Drosophila melanogaster: one gene and its partner. The protein of the gene in region 1 interacts with the protein of each later gene in a pairwise test. Each region holds a gene or a part of one and is shown on either strand. Other genes may lie near its edges. The genes, in order: NT1 and yellow-g.

Region 1 (12,680 bases):
CACTGGACATAGCCTGTGGAATGGAGTACATAGCAGGGAGGAGGGTAAGCAAAAAATCTTGATATAATCTATTAAACCCATATTTATTAACATTTAACCAAAATAGATTGTTCATCGAGATCTGGCCGCTCGCAATGTGCTCCTCGATCACAACGGCATGTGCAAGATCTGTGACTTTGGCATGTCCATCGATCTGGACGCCGAGCGAATGCGCAAGGAGCAGGAGAAGAATGCGGCGAATGATCTGATGCGCCACAATGCGCACAAGTTTAAGTTCGACTTCGGCAGTAGATACATCCTGCAGCACTGGCAGCACACTTTTGGTCAGGGTCAGGGCCAAGGTCACTGCTCCAAGGATCAGCCGCACGGGGAGAAAAAGTCGCATCATGGTCACGACACCATTGGCAAGCGACACGCCCTGCCCATCAGATGGATGGCGCCGGAGAGCCTGCAGTACCACATGTTCACCACCGAAACGGACATCTGGGCCTTTGGCATCGTCCTCTGGGAGATCGCCACTCTGGGTAGGTTTTTCAGCCCGTGAATGAAATGAGAAAAAGAAAAATGACCACTACTCTATTTCCGCCGGGTTTTTATAACCCAAGATATGAGAGTTGAGTGTTTCATTAATTCTGCAGCAAAAAATCTTCCCCTTTGAAGATGTTTTATCTCGATCTAAATGGTTTTATTTAGACAGAAATAACGTTTACATTGATCTATTCAAATTTAGAGCAATAAAAAACATCCGCTTGATCAACCTGACATTTAATCAGCCATCAATTCAAATTGAAATGGCAAAAGTATATTATGATAGCATTATTCTTTAAAAGAACCAGATTTTGTCTATGAAGTATATCGATTTACGATATATTAATGAGCATATTCTATTAGAAGTTGTTCCTAACTATTTTAAAAGCACATTTATATTTTAATGATTATTACACAATGATAATTTTAATTGTGCTTTGTTTTATGCGTGCAATTAAAAAAGAGACTTAAGCTCAGGCACGTATCAATAAACTTACTGACTGGGAATTATCAGTTGCTTTGAGGCTAAATTAACACATTTAAAAATAACTTTAATGTGAATATCGTTACGAAACTGTTTTCAGATTATTAAAGCATTATATTACCTTTTTGTATGTCTCATTTCAGGATCAACACCGTACTCGCAGTTAACGGGACGCGAGGTTATCCGCCGGGTGCCGCAGGGTCTGAGGCCCGATCTGCCCAAGGAGAGCCGGCACGAGTTCTACAACCTGATGTCCCGCTGCTGGCACAAGGAGCCGCACATGCGACCCTCGTTCGCCCAGTCCAGACTAGAGATCACAAGGTCACTGCACAAGTGGGTGGACGACGACTCAGCGGCCTCGGATTACATGGACGTGAGCGGGTTTAGCGAGGATCTCGAGCACGGAGTGGTGTACTTCAATCACCGGATCTCGGAGTTCGAGTGCGAAATATGACGCTGACTGAGCCAACCCCTACCCGGTCGAGGAGCCACCAACTAACTGTGCATCTCAACCAATCCATCCACAACTCATCCACCGCCCACACATCTCTATTTGCCCACTTGTAGATCTTTCGAAATTCTCCTTCCTTGCGACGTCCTTGTCGAGCAGTATTATTTGTATTTTATTGTTAATTTTCCATTTCGAATGCCCCGGAAGTTTCTTTCATTGTAAATATTTATTTGTTGAGACAACAAAATACGTTCTAGGCCTTACGATTAATGAATGGCGCTACCTATGCTTAGTTTAAAGTTCGTCACTTAGTTCTTCTAGTCTGTATCTAAAATCCCATCTTCGAGTTGAGCTATTTCCCCTGGATGTAGCCAAGATTTGACTGCACAAAAGGAAACTTTGAAACCCCGTCGTCAGTAATAAGAAAATAAATCGTTGATTTAGGCGTGCAGCGCATAGGATCTATGTAATTGTATTGAAATCTAGCTATAGAATTGTACAAATAAATTAATTAAAGACGAAATATAATTATGAATATTACACCATTTGAATGCTTTTTTTATTTTATATAAATTTAAATGGAAATTTATTGTAGTGGCAATACTGATTATGATGTATTATGTTAAGCTAACATGGTGAAAACAGACGGTAAGCATTTCTGTTAATGCCTGTCTGTTATCATGTTAACTTTTATTTAAGCTTTCAGCTTTTTCGTTAGGTCTGGCTTCTCTTTACTAGTTCCAAAAAACTGGTTCAAAATAACTGAGCGCGCAATTCAAAAGAAAAATATATATATTAAAACAGTACAAGCACTTAATTTGGTTTTTATCAATATTTTGATAATTTTATAATGTATTAAAAAATATATATAGATCTATTGGAAGATATTTGAACCAAATTAAGTTTTGGAGATATTATTTGCATTATGAAATAAAGTCTTAATCTGAAACTTATTTAAAGTTTTAATAGTCGTTTTTCCACAATCATTGAATTAATGATTATTCGTATATTTGTCGAACCATATTTTTATGTAAATCCCCTGCGGGTACTTTACAAATTTAAAAGTTGTTGAAGACAGATGACTAAATTAAAAACCGGAATTGTTTTGGCCGAAGAGTTTTCATCGGACAAGAATAAGAGGCGTAGGAATGCATAATTATAACTTATACGGCGTGTTTTTCGAATATTAAACTGAAATGCGAACTTAAAAGGCAAACCTGATTATTTTCAATGTCAATGTTTTTATGCACTCGACAAATATTCCAAGAGCAAGTGGACTATACAAGATGCAGGCTAAACAATCGCCAGATGAAATGACAAGACTGCGGTGCTAGGTAATATTTCACTACCGGACCGGAACACAAACATACAATAAACATAACAACAAACATAAAATAAAGAAATAAATATAAAAATAAAAATTTAATGTGCAAATTAGCCAAGTGCATCGCTATGTTTTATGGTCAGCAAGTTGGCCAGCCGGGATGAACGCCGGTAGCGGAAAATCTAGCGAATTGCAACGATATGCGAGTAAAAACCATGGATAACCGAGTGCAACCAAGTTGAGTGAGTGAGGACACTTTCGGCTATGGTTGCTTGATTGATGACGCTGCAATTAAACACACGGCCAGCGATGCGGTAATGTCGACAAATGGACATTAAGATAAAATGCGTAAAGGCTGAAAAACATTGCGTGCTCGTGAAAATGAAATGAAAATTCAGCTGGTACCGTTTTGCCGCTGTGGTTACCAATGAAAGTGTGAAGAAAATGCTCTTTAAGTGGTCATTGAAAGTGCCATAGAAGCCGGAGGGAGGATGCACTTGCCACTGCCCTGGAGCAGTTAAGCCGATAGTTTATGGACTCAACCAATGATGAAGAAATAACAATAAAGCGCAAAAAAGCAAAACGTCAAAATCACGAAAAGTCGTTATTAGACGCAAGTCAAAGTCATTGCACAGTGGGGTGCAAAACGATATAAGGTAATTAGCTAAAAATAGGAGCAATTTAATCAGAGTTTACGAACATAAAAAAAATTATTTCAATCCTAAATTTTCATTTTAGATTTTAATAATGCTAATCTTAATAAAATTAGGCATGTATTTGGCTATGATATATAATATATATTGAATAGTTTACAAGGATATCAACTTGTGTTGCTATGCATTAAAAGATAAAATAAAAATTTGCACGACTAAATTTTGTCCCACTGTTCGGTGGCTGAAAAGCAGGCGGAGGCGCTAACCACCTGCCCAAAGTTGCTACCGAGGGCTGTTGTTTTGAAAAACGAAAGTGCCGTGGCTGGAAATTAATTTTCTTTCCTTAACTTTAGGGGCTGACCCTCGCGGGCGGCCGTAACGCCTGATGAAGTGGTCAAAGTGGTTTTCGTGGCTAATGATGCCGATAGAAAGCAGTTTAGATACGCCGTTTAGCATGCTTCCGTTTTGGACAAATCGCTTCCTGACCCAGTGCCAAAACAAATGACTGAAGACACGAACTGGGCAGACGAGGCTGCTACATACAGTTTTAAATATAGGCAAACTTCCGCTCTAAACGTTAATTAATTTCACATGCATGGATATGCAAATGTAAACCAACTAACGGTTCAATGAACTTGCGAACTGCACAAGAAATGCAATTTGCCGATGCGCACTTTTTAATGCACAAGCACGCACCTAAGTTGGATTTACTGCAATGGGTCCAGAACGCCAACTGAGCCAAAGTCGCCGCAGCAGCAGCAGCAACAACAACCGCAGCAGCAGCAAAAGCGGTAGGTAAAGAAGCAGTAAGCAGCAGTTGAGGCAGCAAATCAGTTTGCGGCGAGTGTTGAAAGCGTTCAGACGTAGCAGGCGGAAAAAATAAAAAGCTGTCTCAAAAGCAAAACGAAGGTGAATGCCAAGCGGACAGACTCAAGAAGTGTGGCAAAGTAGAAATTTCTGTTAATTAAGGCGCGTGTGAAAAGTGTGAAAATCAGCGAAGGCGGTAGCCAATGAGCCTATAAAAGTGAAAATTATCTATGCAAAGTGGAGTGGAATGGAAACTCGGTTCTTGCGCCGCAACAGGAAATAAACAGTGATCAAGCTAAATACATATATCGAAGCTCGGAAGACTGGAGAAGGGAGTGGCTTGGAGAACAAAAAAAAAAAGAAGAACAGTGGACTGAAGACAAGCTGATCTGAGGTGATTTCTGAAGCTCTGCTTTAGCTTTATAAATTAATCATAAAAAACTAGAGCGCAAAGCGGAGAACAAGAAACAAAATCGAAATTGGAATTTTAAAATAGCATTTCATTTGTGAGTGTATTTTAGCCAAATATGTGAAATGGAAACAACTTTCTAAATGAACGAAAACAAAAAAGCGCTTACACCCAACAACAATAACAACAACGACGCACAAAAATTTGAATTCGTTTTATTCTTTACGCCCGAGGAAATTGTGTCAGTCCGCGCTGTTTAAGCGTGTGCGTGTGTGTTCGTTTATTGATATGAGTTGCCGCTTTTCGGCGGTCGTCAAGTTTGTGTCTTAAGTCTTTCGTTTAGGGCCCAGTAAGTTGGTTGGGAATTTATATGTCAGTTCGGATGGCCAAACCTATGCGATGAAGATATTGATCCCCGATCTGTCCAATACAGCTCGACAGCTGTTGGTGGTTAGTGGTTCAGCGGGTTCGCTTACTAGGTTAGTCGGTTAGCACCTAGTTGCTTCTGAGGCTGCTTAGTCTGCTTAGTAGGATTCTGCGGAGATTGTCAGTGCGACTTTCTTGCTTTGCGCTTCGCTTTCAGATGCTTCTCCTCTCATTTGCAGCGCTTTAATTTGTTTTCTTCAATTCGTCTCGTTTGTTTTTCTTTTGCCTTTTTTTTTATTTTTTGACTGGCCCCGTTTCGTTGTCTGCGCAACGCACGCAAATTACAAGTTAATTAAAGTGGCCAAAGAATTTGCCGAGAGATCGCATGCAAGCGGAGTGCAGCATCTTCAAATGCAACCCATTGCCATTCCCATTTTCGTCTGTAATTTGTATTTGCTTTCTTGCAAATGGCACCCACGCGAAATTACTGGGATGCCTGGGAACCGAAATAATGGTTGGCATATATGGGAAACGGCTGCGACTTATTGGCTTAATTTGATTTATCGTACTATGCCGCTTTCCCAGCGTCAAAAAAGTATCTATACGTAAATGCAAAGGCCACACAAAAACCAGAAGCGCCGCCATCTCTCTTCCCCTTTCGTAGGATCCATTAGCGGGGTCTTCTGCGCGCAGGTGTGCGAGATAAATTAAAGACATCGAGCCTGCCTGCATCTTGACAACGGCAGCATCCTCACGTTCGTGCATCGCAAACTGTGCGCATCATTTCATTCAATTATTTGCCTTGCCTTGGGTGCCCGAAGAGACGTGAATCGTTGGACAATCTTCTCTAGCCCACGTCCGCCATAAGTTTTCATGCTGGCCTTGGCTGCCTTTTCTAAACTGTCAACTGTTTGCCGCTGCTGCAGCCAAATTTTCACTTTTCATCTGCACAAAAGGTCATAACATCGATGCAGCTGGTATAGCCATTGCCTCGGAGGAGTTTTCCTGGCTTGGGTGTTGTTAGCATTCAGATTTGTCGGCTCCTTGGGGTAGTCGACTATATAAATAACGAACAAAATGAAAGAAAGACTTTCCTTTGTGCTGAACACATTTGCATAGACAAGAAGAGAAAACCAAGTTCATAGGGAAGAGGGAAGAGCTCTTTTAGCCTGACAAATGTCTTCATCATGATGATAGGAAGCTAAAGCGCAGTCAAATCAATCACCCGACCTTTGGATGGGATGCCATATTACCGCAAAACGGCCAGTTTAGTCAGGAGTCATAACCCCGTGCGCGAAAATACACATTAAAATGGTAAAAATAGCAACAACCAGAGCAGCTTCGGTGCTTCACGCCTTGTTGGGCAGTCAACTGAGATGACAGTGAAGATCATGATGACGACGCCGATGGCTGAGTGCGATTACCTAAAGCCGGAGACGACTGTGCTGCTGTAATAGCCTGGCCAAGATGACTGTTATGACTCTTGCTGCACGGTCGTAATAGTTTACGCTCATGTTAATGACTCTTGCTTTCGATGGAAAGCCAAAAATATGAATGGTTTTGAATTTGCCAAGACAAATTGAACCCGTCTAAGAATAAGCCATAAACTGTTTTTTTTTTTGAAAGCGTGCGAGTGTCGTCTGAGGTGCACTATAGTCATAAATAAACAATTAATAAGACGACATTCATCTGATATTTCGGAAAATTAAATCCAACTTAATAACCAGCAGTGACCGCCCCCTCGCTTTAACTTTCCTTTGCCTTTTGTCATTCGCAGACGACTGCAATTAAAAACAAAGCCAAGAAAATAAAGCCAGAGTGAAAATGAAAGCTGGCCGCGCCTTCGGCTGCCTTTTCTGGGCTCTGCTCTATTGTGTGCTCTATCTGGATCTGGTCAGTGGGAACTCCGCCGACGATGAGCTGATGGACTTTGATTTTGCGGATTCAAATGATGCTGCTATGGAGGACTGGCAGCTGGATGATCTGGAGGAGGCAAAAAAGGCGGAGCAGGCCGAAAAGAAGTTGGAGTCGAATATGCTGGACTTTAGCGTAGATCTGGATGAACCGGAGCCGGAGAAACAATTACCACCTTTCGATTGGCGAGAAAGGGTTTTAAGAAACGCTCTGGCCAAAGCCTTGGCGGATGAGGGATTGCGCCAGAAGTTCGCCGAAGTTTTGCCCATTTTAAGAATGCTATCTTCTCAACAGCGCCTGGCTCTTTCCGCTTTGATCTCGGCTCAGATGAATGCAAAAAAGGGGCACGAACTAAAGTTTGAACAGGTGTGTTTGAGAACGTTTTTAAAAAAATATTATTTTACATTACATTGCATTAAAAAAAAAAACTGGCTAATGATTTTTCTAATTTAATCAGGTTCGCATGATGTTTGGCAATGAAAAAAAGCTGCTTTTGCCCATAGTGTTCGACATCGCAAATCTCATAAAGAGCTCTACCCGCAAGTACATCAATCTGGGTTCTGATCTGGCTTCATCTGCCCTTTACCATACTCCCATCAATCGTCGTGAAGATGATTTGACTCCAGAAGAGTCCCAACAGGATGACCAATTGGGCACCATTGCTGTGGAAGTTGAGCCAAAAAAGGTCTCTACTGAGGAGGTGCAATTGGAGTCTCTAGAGGACTTCTTTGATGAGATGGGGTCAGAAGTGCTTGATCCTCAGATGATCAATGAGGCCCTGACAGGTGATCTTCATGATAACAAAACCAAGACTTTTAAACCAGAAAATCATGGTCAAAGAGTTCGACGATCGGCAAACGAGTTTGTTCACAAATTGACCCGATCCGTGCCTGCTTCTGTGACCGAGCAGCAACTTTTGGGTGGCATTGCTGGACGTACCATCAAGCTGAATACCACAGCTTTTCAACAGCCAAGTAGCCAGGAGGAGGAGAAGATGGCCTCCTCCAATGGTGGCCAGTCATACTCTGAGGTGGAGGATCTGGCTTTTGCTGGTCTTAATGGCACGGAAATCCCCCTGAGCGCTGATGAGCGATTAGATCTGCAAAGAAACAGCGCCGAGGAGACTGAGGAACCACTACCAAGTCCAGAGGAACTCATCGCTGGACCACGTTACCGACTGGGGAAAAGACCACTGCCTGGTCAAAAATCTGGATCTCCCATCAAACGAAAGAGAGTCACATCCTCCTTAAGGGGAAGACCGAAGACCGCCGCCAGTTCCCATAAACCCGTGGTTACACCACCCAACAAGAAATGCGAACGATTCACCAGCAACATGTGCATCCGAACCGACGACTATCCGCTGTAAGATTCCCGTAGCTAGTTGGTGAGCGGTACTCCCAGGGTCCTGGTTCCGGTCCATAGTCCTTAGCTCTAGTTTAGTCCGAATTTTAGCCATAATAAAACTTTAATTTATGAATCACACTTGCCCAACTTTCCCTTGCACTTATGCTTAGTTATTGGTTTTGGTTAGAGTTGTTGAATGAAGTCTACCGTTGGAAACTGCATATATTATTTTGAAATCTTAGTGAACAGATCATGGGCAGCATTAGGCGTCACAAAAACGCCATGTCCGCTCTATTGGCCGAGTTCTACGACAAGCCCAATAACAATCTGGAGTTTAGTGATGACTTCGATGACTTCAGCCTGAGCAAAAAGAGGTAAGTGAAAAAGATCATCAAAGATAGCAAATAACTGACAATAAATGTCATAACATAAGTTTTGACTATAAAAGTTTTAGGAAACGTGATCATTTCGAAATTGTATATTGAAATTGTCGTTGAATCATATGAGCATAAGCCACATAAAGTCATTTTCTTCACAAAGTTATGATAATAAAATAATATATTAGGTCACACAAATTTTATTACACTTTTATCAGTTATATTGGCATTATATTTCGTAAACCAATGAAAAAAAACAATGTGTAGGAATATACTTTTATATTAGTTTTGAAAAGACCAATTAAAAAGCCAAATGCTCGACGGTGAATTTTGGTAAAATATTTCATTTTTTTTTTCACATTAAAGGCGTGAAGACGAAGGCAGCGCAGGTGGGATGTGCCAGAGCGTGGTACGTTATGCCCGACCCCAGAAGGCCAAGTCAGCTTCAGGAGAATGGAAGTACATAGTGAACACTGGTCAGCACACGCAAACCTTAAGATTGGAAAAATGCAGGTGGGTGAAAATAATTTTTCACTTGAATAACATGGTATTAACTTGCAATCTTTGCATTTATAAACAGTAATCCCGTCGAGAGTTGTTCCTACTTGGCGCAGACTTACCGTTCCCACTGCTCGCAGGTGTACAACTATCATCGTCTATTAAGTTGGGACAAAGTGCGTGGTCTCCATGTGGATATTTTTAAGGTGCCCACCTGTTGCTCCTGCCAAGTGGATGGTTATCGCCAGCAGTTTCCACCGCTCTCCTCCATACAAGCCAAAGATTACTCTCCCCAGTCTCCTGTCATAAATCATAGTCATAATGGGTATAGTACCATAAACGAGGAGGATCTGGACTATGCCGAAGAGAGCGAGGAGGACGAACTGGGTCTTCGATATCCCTCTTTCAACAATCGGGAGACAAATGAACTGTATTCCAGCAGTAACAAGGTGCGCGTAAAGCTGCCTGGTATTAGCAGCAGTGTGGGTCCATATCTCAGTCCCCCTGATGATGACGAAGATCGCTATGGCGGATACAAGAGCTCCAGTTCCAGTTCCAAGAAGTATTACAGCCAGGTGAGCCGCCGGCGGCCGCAGCATTCAGAGGCGCGTCTGGACTTGGATTTGGCGCCAAGCGAGACGCATTCGGACCAAGAGGTAAACCTATTCGCTGGCCCACCAAACGGCGGTGCAGAGAAGCCGCGTATCCCGCTGAATCGCAAGCGTATTTATGCCTCCACCCACACAGCCCCCACCACCGCAACATCATCAGCATCATCATCTTCAGTACCATCGCCCGCAGGAGGAGCTGCCGTCCGCCTACGATTTCCACAGACCACAAGTCTACCAGCCCGAACGGGAACAGCTGCCCTTAGTCCGGGATCCGGCTTTGTCTCCGGTTTCAGCGCCAGTGCTGGCCTCTCCAGCGCCTCCTCTGCCCATGCCGCCCATGCCCATCAAGCAGGTGCCATCGCACCACCAGGCGCACCACCAACAGCCTCACCACCATCTTCACCAGTCAACCGGCAAGGTGGCAGCAAATCGCGACCCCGCTTCTATGCACCACCAGCCACCACGACGACCAACACAGCAGTGGTTACCGGGTCAGCGTCGTCCCTTTCGACCGAGCGCACCACTCAGTGGGAGCGGGATCAGTCGACGTCACTACCACAACCGCCGGCAGTCTATCCAGTGAGCTCGATCTTCCCCAGCGGTGGTGGCAGCGAGATGTCGGGCAAGAGGATTAACTATAACTACCACCCCATTATCGATTTCTTCGAGAAGAATCGCAAGGCGGAGGCGGCGGCTACAGTCAGTTCCATCGCAGAAGAGTCCCGCATAGTGGAGCAGCGTATATTCCCGCAGAATTCCCCCAAATCTCAACAGAATGGCATGGGCTTGGGCATGGAGACAATCACTGGAGTTTACCAACATCCCATTCCGGTGCCCAAAACGCACGAGAGGCGTATGGGTTACCGGGCACATAACGGTGGCGTGGGTGGTGCAGGTGCTGTGGGTGGTGGTGCTGGTTTCGCTAGCGATAACGCCTGGCTGCCCATGGTTGTGGAGTAGCTTAAGTCGCATGAGTCCATCAAAATCAAAGTCCTCAAATCCCCGAAATCTAACGTATTAACGCCGATGCCTTAGCTCGTAGTCTCTGCCGTTCTCGCCAGGAGCCTAATCTTGTAGTTTGTCTACCTGGCTCCTAATCTCAACCCCATTTATCCCAAAACCCACTCTAATGTTTAACCAACTATGTTTATTTATTTATTTATTTTGTAGTGTGTAGTGCAAAGATTAAGAGATGACCTCGTTTTTGGGGGAGGTTCAATTGGTCAAAAGCTTGGTTGGTTTGTCACGAGAGTTCTAGCAATAAATATAATTTATTGAAATCTTAACACGTGTTTGTTTCTTTAAGAAATGTGTCGAGTTTACTTTTACACTCACTGTACTTCTGTTAACACTGAAGCTAACAGAACAAATATTATAGCATCTTTTAGGCGCTTTTTAAAATTCTGACTTCTGTTAACAAAACAGGCATGCGCAACGGCATTGCCATTAAAAGAGCTGTTTTGTTTTATTGATAATATAATCTTGTAATAAATTCAAGTACAAGGCAATTAAATAAAGTCCTACAATTCAATGTTAATTATGGTGCTTTTTAATTTAAAACGTGACTAATATAGACATTTGTAGTATTTAATAGTTTGCAGCTTAATCAAATGTAGATGTTTGGAAGAAGATTTAAATACAATTATTTGCAATGAAAAGTTTACTTAAAAATTCAATTAATTACGTACCTTGAAGAGTCAAAGAATTTATTAAAATTACAAACAGAAACAAAAATTTTTTTTCCACTCACAAAAAATCTCATGAATATATTTATTCCTATTAGATATTCCCATAGAATATCAAAGTCCGCATAAATCATTCCCATCTAAAGACCGCATTATTCCCCATATTTTTAAAACACCCAAATTAAATGGACAGTGCATAAATTAATTCACCGTTCGCTCTGCCTTTCGCCCAAATGACACAAATACCAAATCAGTGGCTTTCGGCGAAGTTCAAGTTGAGGGTCAAGTGGCGGGCACTAATGAGATTCGAGACTGCGAAAATAAAAACACTTACCCACACGATCGAAAACTGAATTCAAGACAGAAACTAGTTTCTGCACAGCAACCAGAAAGTTGCAATGTGCCAAGCCACCGTTGTGGCGTATGCAAAGTGGGTTTCTAAAGCGAAACACGGCTTGAGCCCCGACTTTGACCAGTTATAACATTGGACGTTGAACGTTGCAACTTGCATCTGGCAGCTACTTGCAACGTCACTTCGGCTGGCCAGATTCGCTTTCATTTGCGGCCGAAGCTAACAAACGGCCGATGACGACGACGATGACGACTTCAAAAACATCTATCTCGTCACGAAAGAAAGAAAGAAAGAAAGGCTCGTGGCGCGGTGATCAAACTGGAAAATTGGAAAAACGGCGAGGAAATGTTATAAAGCCACAATGATAGCACACTTACTGCACAGTTGTCGGTTGGCCGTCGAACGCGAAAGTGAAAAGTTGCATTTCCCCCGACCTTGGGATAGAGAGAGTAAAAGTGCAATGGCTGTGCTAAGGACATACTTTTTGCTCCTCTTCTATTTACAACTAAGCCAGGCGATAAAAGTGGATAGTGGGAGCAAGGAAGGAGATTCCAGTAGCACTCCAAGTCCTCCTCTTTATAGAGTATCGAAGCCCGAGCACAAGAAACCGGAGAACAGGGTTCCACCGCATTTGCAGGACATACGTCCTGGTTACGTCGATGATGATGCGGGAGATGTGATCAGGATTATTGAGCCTCCTCAGCACTTTCAGCAGCTGAAACGTCTGCGTCAACGGCAACCTTCCAATCCACCTGTGGTTTGGGAGCAACCACGGAAATTGGCCACCAATAGGTTGAAAATCATGCCACAAGGAGACCTCCTCACGCAAGAAACCCAGATTCAAAATGGTCCTAATCAGCTACAAATACCCGTGGAA
Region 2 (10,119 bases), 2.2 Mb from region 1:
ATGAGCTGCGCCCGCGTGGCAATCACATTCTTGGGTATAAACTTTCCGGAGCTCTTGAAGAGCGACTTGGTACTGGCGCATGGGAACTCGAATTGCCCGCCCGTCCACTGGATGGGCTGAGAATCGGAGTGCGCCCGATCCGGAGTCCACAGTCCGTACTTGGTGCCCTGCGAGCGGGCCCAGCCAACTAGGCAAAATCCAAGGATCAGGGCCAAGTGCAGTCTCATCGTGGAAGCAATTGTTAATGGTGCGGCAGCGACGTGCGCGTTCTGCTCCCCAAATTGGCCAAGTGGCGTGCTTATATAACCCAACAGCCCATAGAATTTGACCACAAGACGGCAACGTGCCTCGCACCCAATTCTTAGCTTTTAAACTGATTTTTTGCGAACTTTATGACCTTGGCAAGAGTTAACCAGTAAACGATGGTAAAAACTAATGACATTTATGACTGAAATTAAATCATTAACTTGTGCTATTAATATGAACTTGTATACATTAATTGAATAGTTTCAATTCCATTACATAACTAAAAGCCAGCCATTCCCAGGACAGAAGCCAGGGAAGTTTTCGAATGGAGCCAAAGGACCAAGGCGAAGGACACATTCCTCCCGCAATTATCCAATCGACCATAAAAATGGCATTGCAATTATTGCAGTCAATTGAAAACGGAACCCCAACAAGTGTCTCCAGATTGGTGGCGATATTTTTAGCTAATTAATTGCGGGCAACAAAATGACCTCAATCTGAGATTTTGCCAGCCATAAGTTGGCCCATAAAGAGTGATTGAAGGAGTGAAAGAAAAATCTCAGCATCCCCGGGATTTCCCTGCAGAATTCCTGGGCCATTTCGCCATTTCCATCACCATAATTGCCCCTAAATAGGTTAAGGCCCTCGATACGGGCAGACAACCCGGAATCGCCCCAAACCAAAACCAACGTGTTTGGCATGTTAAATTGTCAGCCGAAACCCGCATTCCGGTTGGCTTTTTCCCCACCCACCAGAATGATTTATACGAGACAAGCGCACATATATACATATACATACATAGATGGAGCGCAAAAAATTGATGACAAGCATTTCCGGGCTGCTCATCTGACATAATTTATGTAAACACTTACCTCCCAGCAACAAAAAAGTTTTGGGGGGTAGATAAGAGACTGCCGGACGACTGCCGACTGACCCCCATTAGCTGGGGAAACTCCACTCACTGCTCGGCAAAACCATGGCCAGACATTCCGCAGGACGTTCTCCACACATTACATTGACAGTTCTTGTTTATGGCCCGTTAACGGGGCGTATGCGTCATCTGCAAAGTCGGGGGATTATGTGCGACTTCTTTAAAACGCGCTGCGCAACAAAGCAAAGTTCAACTTTTTATATGTGTGCCAATAAAAATCCAATTGAAAACGCAAATAAGCCAATAATTTGTCGTTCTTTTTTTTTGTCCCGCAGCAGCGGAAAAATGTACAAAAAAAAAATTGTCTGTGGTCACGTTTGATTTGTTTTGGTAAATGGGCCAAATGAGGTTTATGCTTTTTTAACTTTGTGCTGAGGAAAGCGATTTTCTTTACCGGGAATTTCACATAAATTCAGACCAACCTTTTCTGGAAATGCTGAACTCCAGGGTGGATTAATAACGTCATTTAAAATAGTATTTTTATGATAGTTATAGTTAACTAGCTATAGGTAATATATAGGTAATTTGATTTAAATTGGTTATCACAGAAAGTTTTCAGGGGCTTACAGTTGTAGTACAGGGTATTAAAAAGTCATCAGCTGCGCTTAAAGTTAATCTTCCCATAATTTTTTGGCCGCTCGCCTAATTTATGTGCTTTGCTTTCACTTTGCTGGCTTTCTTTCGTCGGCCAAGTTTTGTTTACGTCTGCTTAAAGTTGTCCACATTGGCTCTCAACCTTTTGCAATCGCCATAAATTATTGCCTTTATCCAGTGGCCCATCTTGGTTTAATTGTTTTGCAATAATTGAATTCATTGAATTCATCCGACAAATTGCTCTTGGCAACCCGCTGCTACTGTGTGTGCATATGAAACATTCACTTTTTGCACCCAATGTGCTATCAATGAGTTTACATTTGCCATTTAAACGCATCTGTCGATATCAAGGAGAAAATATTTCCAAATGAGTGCGGACAGTTCCCACAAATACACAAATACACTATCCATGGAATATGTTGCCAAATTTGTTGAGTTTCAATACACAATTTTATTGTGAATGGTCGATTTTGATATCTTAATCATTTAAAGTCTAGAGATGAATAAATGATTGCTGATTTCAAGCTTTGCCATAATCGTATCTGTAAGCTGTTTTTGCAGAGTAAAAGAGTCTTAGCATCGTCAAATTTCCATTTGCATACTTTGCTTTTATTTATGTTGGAGCACATAAATATTTATCCACAGATTCGGCCCGACTGACAATCCCGCCCACATATCACAGCACTTATCACATCCGCCTGCTTTTGGGCATGTGTGTGCCATAAATCGGGGGATTACGATCGTGGGAAGGGGGGTTTGGACCCATGGCAGTTTATTGAATCGGAATTCACAAAAATTCAATCTGCATGTAATTTGGCATTATAGACAGACCCTTCCCATTCCGCCATGCGGAAGGAGCAGCCAGTCTGACCCCCGATGAATGGGTTATCAAAATGTTGACCCGCCGATGGTCATTTGATGATGGGCAGCTGTAAGGAGATTAAACATTTTGTGATTTAATGTAAGCCCAGTGCTGTCCATAATTCGCTGCACGAGCTGTCCCAAACAAAAGACTCTTCAGCTGGACACCGACTCCTCCACCGCTTGCCCGAATGTGTCAAAGATTTTTTATTCGCCGCTTGGCGATATGTGGGTTTCTACGAGTTAACGGGGTCATCGACCACGTCGGGCGGATACACCTCTAATCCCCCCGCAATCAACGTGCAAAAAAGTCCACCAAAGTCCACAAAGAGACTTGAGCAGCCAACAAAAAAAAATATGGCAAAAAATGTAGTTCCAGGGGGCACCCGGATTTGAACCGGGGACCTCTCGATCTGCAGTCGAATGCTCTACCCCTGAGCTATACCCCCGACTTGAAAATGGCGAACTCAGAGCGCCTTTTAAAGTTCCCTGATGCGATAAAATTTCGCCTTTGCATTTATCTTAAAATAGAAATGAAATCAATTTGGAACAGAGTGACTGTTCCGCGAAACTGTGGGTGTGATTCACACGACGAATCTCCGGCAACTTGCAATCTTATCTGCGAGTAATGTGCCCCACCAACTCCCCGAACTTTCTCCTTTCGCCCGCCCCCTCCCCCAAAAGCAAACTGATAGCTAGCTGCAGACGGACGGACTGACAGATGTTTTTGTCATCCGAAAATAGCTGGTAACTCGAGCCAAGAAACTGAAACTTTCTCGGTCGCAGATATGCAGGTCACAGACGTCAGCATTGATATTGAACTTTTGGGCCACTTTGGCAAGTGTTTCGCAGCGACCTCTGAACTTTGCCTGCCAAGGGGTGAAACTTGCTACTCTGTCGGATGCACAAGAGCGATCGATGAGTGACAGAAGCTATTTCGCAACTTGAACCCATTTTATTGAACGGACTTGAGTGACTAATTAGCTGCCTATAAATGGCTATAATAGCACAAAGTTATACTCAGAAAATAAGAGCAATAAAAGGAGTAGAAGTGATTAATTAGACAGGCATAGATTGCCATAATAGAACAAACTGTTATCAAGACAATTAAAGTAAAAACCAGGGGAGTTAAATTTGATTTGGATGGCTTAGGAAGAATCGTGTAATCTAGATAGAGGGAAGGGGTTAAGTTTGCATTTCATTTCCGCATCGCTTTCCGCATTGCTTAGAAACCGAGCGGGCTTAGAGGTCTGGCCGACTTCCGGCGTGGGCCAGACGTGCTGGCTGGGTGGTAGCCACTCCAGACAGACACTTGTTCCCCCCCGTGTCAAGCAACCAACGACCTTGCCGCAACACGCTCCACATGCTGGCTGCATAAGTCGTTGGGTATTATATATAAATGCAGGTCTACCATCGCTCAGACAGTTTTATGTTCTGGCCAACGTGGTGAATCGAGTGCAGAAGCTCTGTTTGTGGAAAGCGCAGAAAGAAACGCCGAAAAATGTCGCAGCTGCAACTGCTGCTCCTCGTCGCTTCGGCCTCCGTGGTCCTCGCGGGATACAGCTCCTCCACCGACGAGTCGACGGACGCCTCCAACTCCATTGGCGGCACCAAGTGCGACAAGAACCCGCTGAACGAACTGACCTTCCAGCTCAGCGGCAGCAGCCTCCACTGGCCCTGCGAGTCCACCAAGAACATCTACGTCCAGTCCGGCCGCTATGTGCCCCGTAACGTGATCGTGACCCGGGCCCAACTGCAGCGGGACTCCGCCTTCGTGGCGCTGCCCAGGTACAAGCAGGGCGTGCCCTTCACTCTCGGCAAGGTCAATCTAAAGAAGGGCGAGTGCCTGACCAAGATCGCACCCTATCCCTGCTGGGCCATTCAGGAGGAGGGCAACTGCCAGGCGCTGCAGTCCGTCGTGGACATAGCCGTCGATCAGAATGTGAGTGCAATTAACGCCAGTATTGTTTGGACCATTTTTTTTTTGGGGGTCAGACAAGTTGTCTCGTCCAAACTGCCAGTTCTGCCTTTAATTACGGACTGCTCGTTGTTGGCCACCATGGAGGCATAGCACTTTAACCCACACCAAATGTTTAATTCATATTTGTATCGTGGGTGGATTACAGGGTAGCATTGAAATGCTCTTAGGGCTATTCACTTTTTTTTTCTAAAAATGATTTAGTTTATCTTCTGATATTGATATTGATGTGCAGTCGCAGTGTTAAATATTTGCTAGCCCTTACAAAGTCGATCAAAATCGGGAGTTTAGCTCCAGGGTATCGTTTTCGCATTAACCCCTTGCCGGACGCACTTTTTTAATTGGTTAGCCTCGCTGTCGACCAAATATTACTTTTTTAATCAAATAAACGGGGCCACAAAAGTGAAGAGCTCCAAATAAAATTCATGCCCGTCAATTGGCGGCAGCAATTTAAGGGTAGAATAAACGGATACGGAAACGCCGAAAAAGCTGTGGGGTAAATGGAATATTATAAAGGACAAGGACTGCAGCTGAAAAGTGACAAGCAAATGCAGTGAAAAGTTCTCGAAAATAATTTTGGAAATGCTGGGAACAGGCCATCCAGCCGTGTTTTGTGCATTTCGATTGCACTTCAGAAGTTCTCAGCTTTAATTTTAAATGACAGATGCATTCGCAGATATTACAATGATGCTATTAAATATTTACATGACCTACTTACGATTGCGAGCATAAGCTGCAACTTAATAATTTCCTTCAATTATTGTTGGCGTCGAATCGTTCTCATTTAAATGCCATTCCCGTTTAGCTGCATTTATGCAAATCATTTCTTTATTTTATTTACACAAAAGTCGACGAAACAATAACAAACGGCAAACAAACGAGGCGACTGTATTTATTTATTTGCGCAATTTTCCATTCAGTGCTTTTCGCTGATACTCATTTTATGGCCACATATTTGCGAATGTGGAATTTTTAACGCCGCCAACATTTCAATTAGCCGCCAAATGAAAACATTAACAACAATCAACACGAGCTGCAATTGATAGCAATTAATAATTGCCTTCTCCGTTCGCAGGGACTTCTGTGGGCCTTGGACGTGGGCATTGTCAACACCCTGGAGCAGCCCATCCGCAGATGCAGTCCCAAGATCGTGGCCATAAACACGGCCAACCACAAGGTGGTCAAGAGCATCGACCTCAGCGACCTGGTCACCTCCGAGAGTCGGCTGCAGTTCATCGTGGTCGACTACTCCAAGGACAACAAGCCATTCGTGTGAGTTCCATTGCCTATACTCTTTTATTACCCTTAACTTCATCTGTGAAATGAGTTGTACTTAATCACTTTTTGAAATACATCAACTATGAAATTAATACCACACATTACATTATTATTAACCATTATTACTAACCATTATTTATCAGCACAATGATATTCAGAGATTCATATTGCAGTCATAAAATATTCGTTGAAATCATCGAACTGAATCAAGAGTTTGGAGTACTTTTACCACACACTTTCAATCATGCTTTCAATCAGCGATCATTGAGCCAATCAAAAGGGCATTAGCCACTTTGAGGCTCATATCTTATCTGCTCAAGGTAGTTCTCAGAAGTGTGGCTCATCATATACCAAATAAAATCGATTTGTATTGCATACATGATATCTAATCTCATTCCACATTATATTTCCTTCACTTTCAACCATAGCTATGTGGCCGATGCTGGAGCACGTAGTATCCTGGTATACGACATCACCGGCAACAAGTCCTACCGCATCGTCCTGCCGAAGGCCACCGCCCCCACCAGCGATGTGCTGTACGTGGCGCTCACCTCGAAGCCGGACGGCACCTCCACCCTGTTCTTCAGCTACCTGAGCTCCCCCCGTCTGTACTCCATCAAGGGCGAGTACCTGCGCGTTGGCCAGGGAGCGGGCTCCATCATCGACGTGGGCCCCAAGCCCTATGGCAAACAGGCGGTGCTGCTGGGCGCCGACGGCGGCACCTCGCTCTTCTTCCGCTACAAGGGCGAGAACGACATTTACCTGTGGGACTCGGAGACCTGCTTCAAGGCCGCCAATCTGCAGGAGGTGCAGCGGGGAGGCGACTGCCGGCTGTCCACCCAAGTGCTCCCGGGTCACAAGCGATTCATGTGGGCGCTGGAGAGCAACTTCCACGATTTCATCTCGGATCGCACGGGCTGCAACGGAGCCTCGATCGTCCTGCATCCTGTGGTGCGGGAATGTGACGATTGAGTCCGTATCCCTCCACTTTCTTAGGCTTAAGATTCAAACTGATTTGTTGTCGTTACTGGGTCTCATTAAAATTTTGGTGAATATTTATAGTTATTTGTAGTTTATCTTAAAATGTTCAGAATGATTTCAATTTTTTAAATAGGCATTTACTTGAATCAATATTGGTACCATGAAAACAATTCATTACTCTGACTCTGATTGGCACTTTCGAGTCTCAGCATTGAAATACTGTCCCATTGGACAGCTGTAGATCTGCAGCTGGTGATCGATGCATATGCAGTACTCATCCTTGGTGGAGACATTGGGACAGCTGAGGATCTCAAAGTCCGAGCACTGATAGATCCTATCAGTCACGCAGGTCAGGATCTTAGGATCAATTTGGAAGCCGGCGGGACAGGTCATCACCTCCAGTTCTCCATCGACGCACTTGCAGTACTCGATCTCAGAGGTTCGGAAGGGGCATTGGTACCTATCGTTGTTCATGCACGTGTGGGACTCCATCGCCTGAATGCTCCTCATGCTCCTGGTGTCGGGCACACAGCTGTAGCTGTTGAAAACGAATCCCTCGTGGCACTTCATCATCAGCGGATACAGCGAATTGGCCGTGTCATTGACGCAGACGTAGAAGTACCGATTGTCGGGCGCCCATCCACCCACTTGTCCCGACCGACTGCAGGTGAACTGCTCCTGGATGCACTGCTCACTCTCCCGTGGCAGAACACAAGTGCCCGTGAGTGTGGAGTAGCCCGCTCCGTTGGAGCAGATGCGAGGGGTGTCCACACTCTGATCGCTGCACTCGTGGTACCGCCTACAGTCGTACGGATCCGGGAACAGGCCCGCCTGCTGACAGCTGAAGGGACCTCTCTTGGGCACCTGGCACTGCGACTGGAAGGTGCATCCGAAGGTACCCTCGTCGCTGCAATAGAAATTGTACTCCGATTGGCAGCCCAGCATCGAAATCGTTTCCCAGCTGCCGGTGGCATCGCGGATGCAGTAGCCCAAGGTGGTGCAGTTCATGCAAACGAAGCCGGGAATGCGCACATCCTGGCAGGGATTATCATTAGCCCACGCCGATCCCAACGCCAGAGCGAGCAGGATTAGACAAACCGGTACTGAAGACCTCATCTTGAAGACTGTTGGCTGGGTCATCTGCGGGACTAGCTTTTATAGCACCACCTAATCAGCCAGGCAAGTGTCTTTTTCTTAATTAAACAGATAAGCTTCTCTAGGTATTATCGATTTGATAAAGAACCAAAATTTTACGACGTAATAATAAATTTAGAAAACTTACTAAGCGTAGCTAAAATTGTAATTATTCGAAGAGTATCATCGAAACTGCGAACTGATAAATCCGGAATTCATTGAAAATAGTTTAATCAGTTTTAATCAGTTTTATTCCAAGATAGGCTAGCTACAATAACTATAATATGTTGGGTCAACAAGTTCCAGTAACGCACGCAAAGGAAATTAGATTGAAGATGGTTCCTACCGAGCATCTGAAATACTCAATATCACTGCCCTTTTCGCGACAATGATAGTACCCAGAGCAGTCAGCGGGATCACCAAACAATCCAAGCCGCTGGCACTTTCCAGACGAACTGGGCAACTCGTCGTCATCAGATCCTGTGTTCAGGCAAATCTGCAGCTCGTCATCAAAGGTAAAGCCCGTTGGACAGTAGTTAAGATGCCATTTGCCATCGATGCAGAGGCAGAAGACATCGCTTGCCGTGCTGTTAGGACATGGGGATGGAGTATAATCGTCCTGGCACTCAACGCTTCCCACCCGGCAGACCAATCGGTTGGCATCGAAGTAGGTTCCTTCAGGGCATTTCCAGATCTGAAGGTGCTTATCTTTGCACACGCAAAACTCGTCCATTTCTGTGGCCATCGGACATTTGCCGATTTGGTGATTGGTACAGCTGGTAGTGTCTGTAGATACGCAGGCTTGGATAGTTTCGTTAAAGTAGTAATCATCTGGACAGGATTCAGCAGCTGCATCCAATCTGAGCTCCAGATAACTGCCGTTCCCCAACCCTTTTCCCGTTTGAAACAACAGAAAAGTTAGGAGGCAGATAATCAGGCGAGATGAATCCATGTTGCAAACTTTCTAAGTAGACCTCTTCACACTCCGCCTTATATAGTACCTCACAACCAAACGCAGAATGTTTCGGTATAATTAATAGATAAACTGCAATGTTGTCACGAAAAAAACATTCTATGGAACATTTATGACCTAGTCACAGCACTCTTAGCAAGAAAGAACCAAGACAGTACTAGTCCATTTCTATTGCACTTTTATTGGAAAAAAACAAAGAACTCATTCTGGTTTAATTACCCACGGACATGGTGGTTGAATCTTTATTATCAAACTGATACCTTTTGAAATGGGAATTCATAAATTCATGTCAAATAGATTGTTATTCCAGGGTAAACATGAGTTGTTTATTAAATGTAATCCATTGAAGAGGAATAAATAAAGTGCAGGAATGCATCTTCCTCAGCAGCTTCCCAGGACGCAGGAGGATAGCTCCGGTCGGTAGTAAGTCCCATTGGGGCAGTCCATGTGCCGCAGGGTGCCATTTAGAGCCGAGCAGTAGTAGTACTTCCGGCAGTCGTTTCCATCGGCCATCAAGCCCACGTGCTGACAGGTGTTGGGCAGCACCGAAAAGTCGTCGTCGTTGGGATCCTCGATGATCACCGAAGGATCATCGGTGCTGGGCGGCAGGACATTCGATCCGCTGCGGCAGACGTAGTCCACGAAGGTCTCGCCATCGTTGCACCTGTGCAGCGAGGGGTAGATGACGATGGTGTCGTTCAGGTTCTGGTTAACCGTCGACTTGCACACGTAGAAGATATTGGGATTGGTGGGCCAGGCGGCCACGTGTCCGGCATTGGGGCAGTAGTACTGTCGCTGCAGGCAGACGGAGTCAGTCAGGGTCAAAGTGCACTGGCCAGTCGTCGCATCGAAGGCCTTGTCGTTGCCGCAATCAACGGCAGCAGCCACCAGAGTGGCCCCCACGAAGTAGCACATGTGGTACTTCTGGCAGTCGTACGGATCTGGAAAGATGCCTTGCGAGGTGCACTGAAAGTTGCCCTCGATGCCGAACGGATGACACGGGCCCGTCTCGTTGGTGCAGCTCCCCAGCCGGGCGTTGCAGTAGTATCCATTAGCCACGTCGCACGATTCCACGGGAATGTTCACCCATCCGTTGGAGTGACGCACGCAGGTGGCCAGCAGCTCGCAGGACTCGCAGATGGG

What was found.
Region 2: the proteins of NT1 (region 1) and yellow-g interact in a two-hybrid assay, tested with the Drosophila melanogaster proteins (one large-scale study listed by BioGRID).

What each region holds. Positions count from the first base shown.
Region 1 is NT_037436.4:4,500,022-4,512,701, reverse strand, and holds NT1 (neurotrophin 1), read left to right. Parts: upstream 1-4,268; 5' UTR 4,269-4,641; exon of another isoform or gene 4,642-4,753; intron 4,754-6,799; 5' UTR 6,800-6,846; coding exon 6,847-7,302; intron 7,303-7,393; coding exon 7,394-8,298; coding exon of another isoform or gene 8,299-8,302; exon of another isoform or gene 8,303-8,417; intron 8,418-8,522; coding exon 8,523-8,654; intron 8,655-9,023; coding exon 9,024-9,170; intron 9,171-9,237; coding exon 9,238-10,726; 3' UTR 10,727-11,050; downstream 11,051-12,680. Other genes in the region: Tie (Tie-like receptor tyrosine kinase), read left to right, coding at 1-44, 107-524, 1,156-1,466; CG13720 (uncharacterized protein), read left to right, coding at 12,264-12,680. UniProt on the Drosophila melanogaster protein: Neurotrophin which may function as a ligand for the Toll-related receptors Toll-7 and Tollo. Binds to Toll-7 and probably acts as its ligand in promoting motor axon targeting and neuronal survival in the central nervous system (CNS).
Region 2 is NT_037436.4:2,266,706-2,276,824, reverse strand, and holds yellow-g (yellow-g), read left to right. Parts: upstream 1-4,055; 5' UTR 4,056-4,133; coding exon 4,134-4,574; intron 4,575-5,685; coding exon 5,686-5,882; intron 5,883-6,316; coding exon 6,317-6,860; 3' UTR 6,861-6,944; downstream 6,945-10,119. Other genes in the region: yellow-g2, read right to left, coding at 1-227; CG32302 (uncharacterized protein), read right to left, coding at 7,044-7,985; obst-I (obstructor-I), read right to left, coding at 8,296-8,955; CG13806 (uncharacterized protein), read right to left, coding at 9,358-10,119.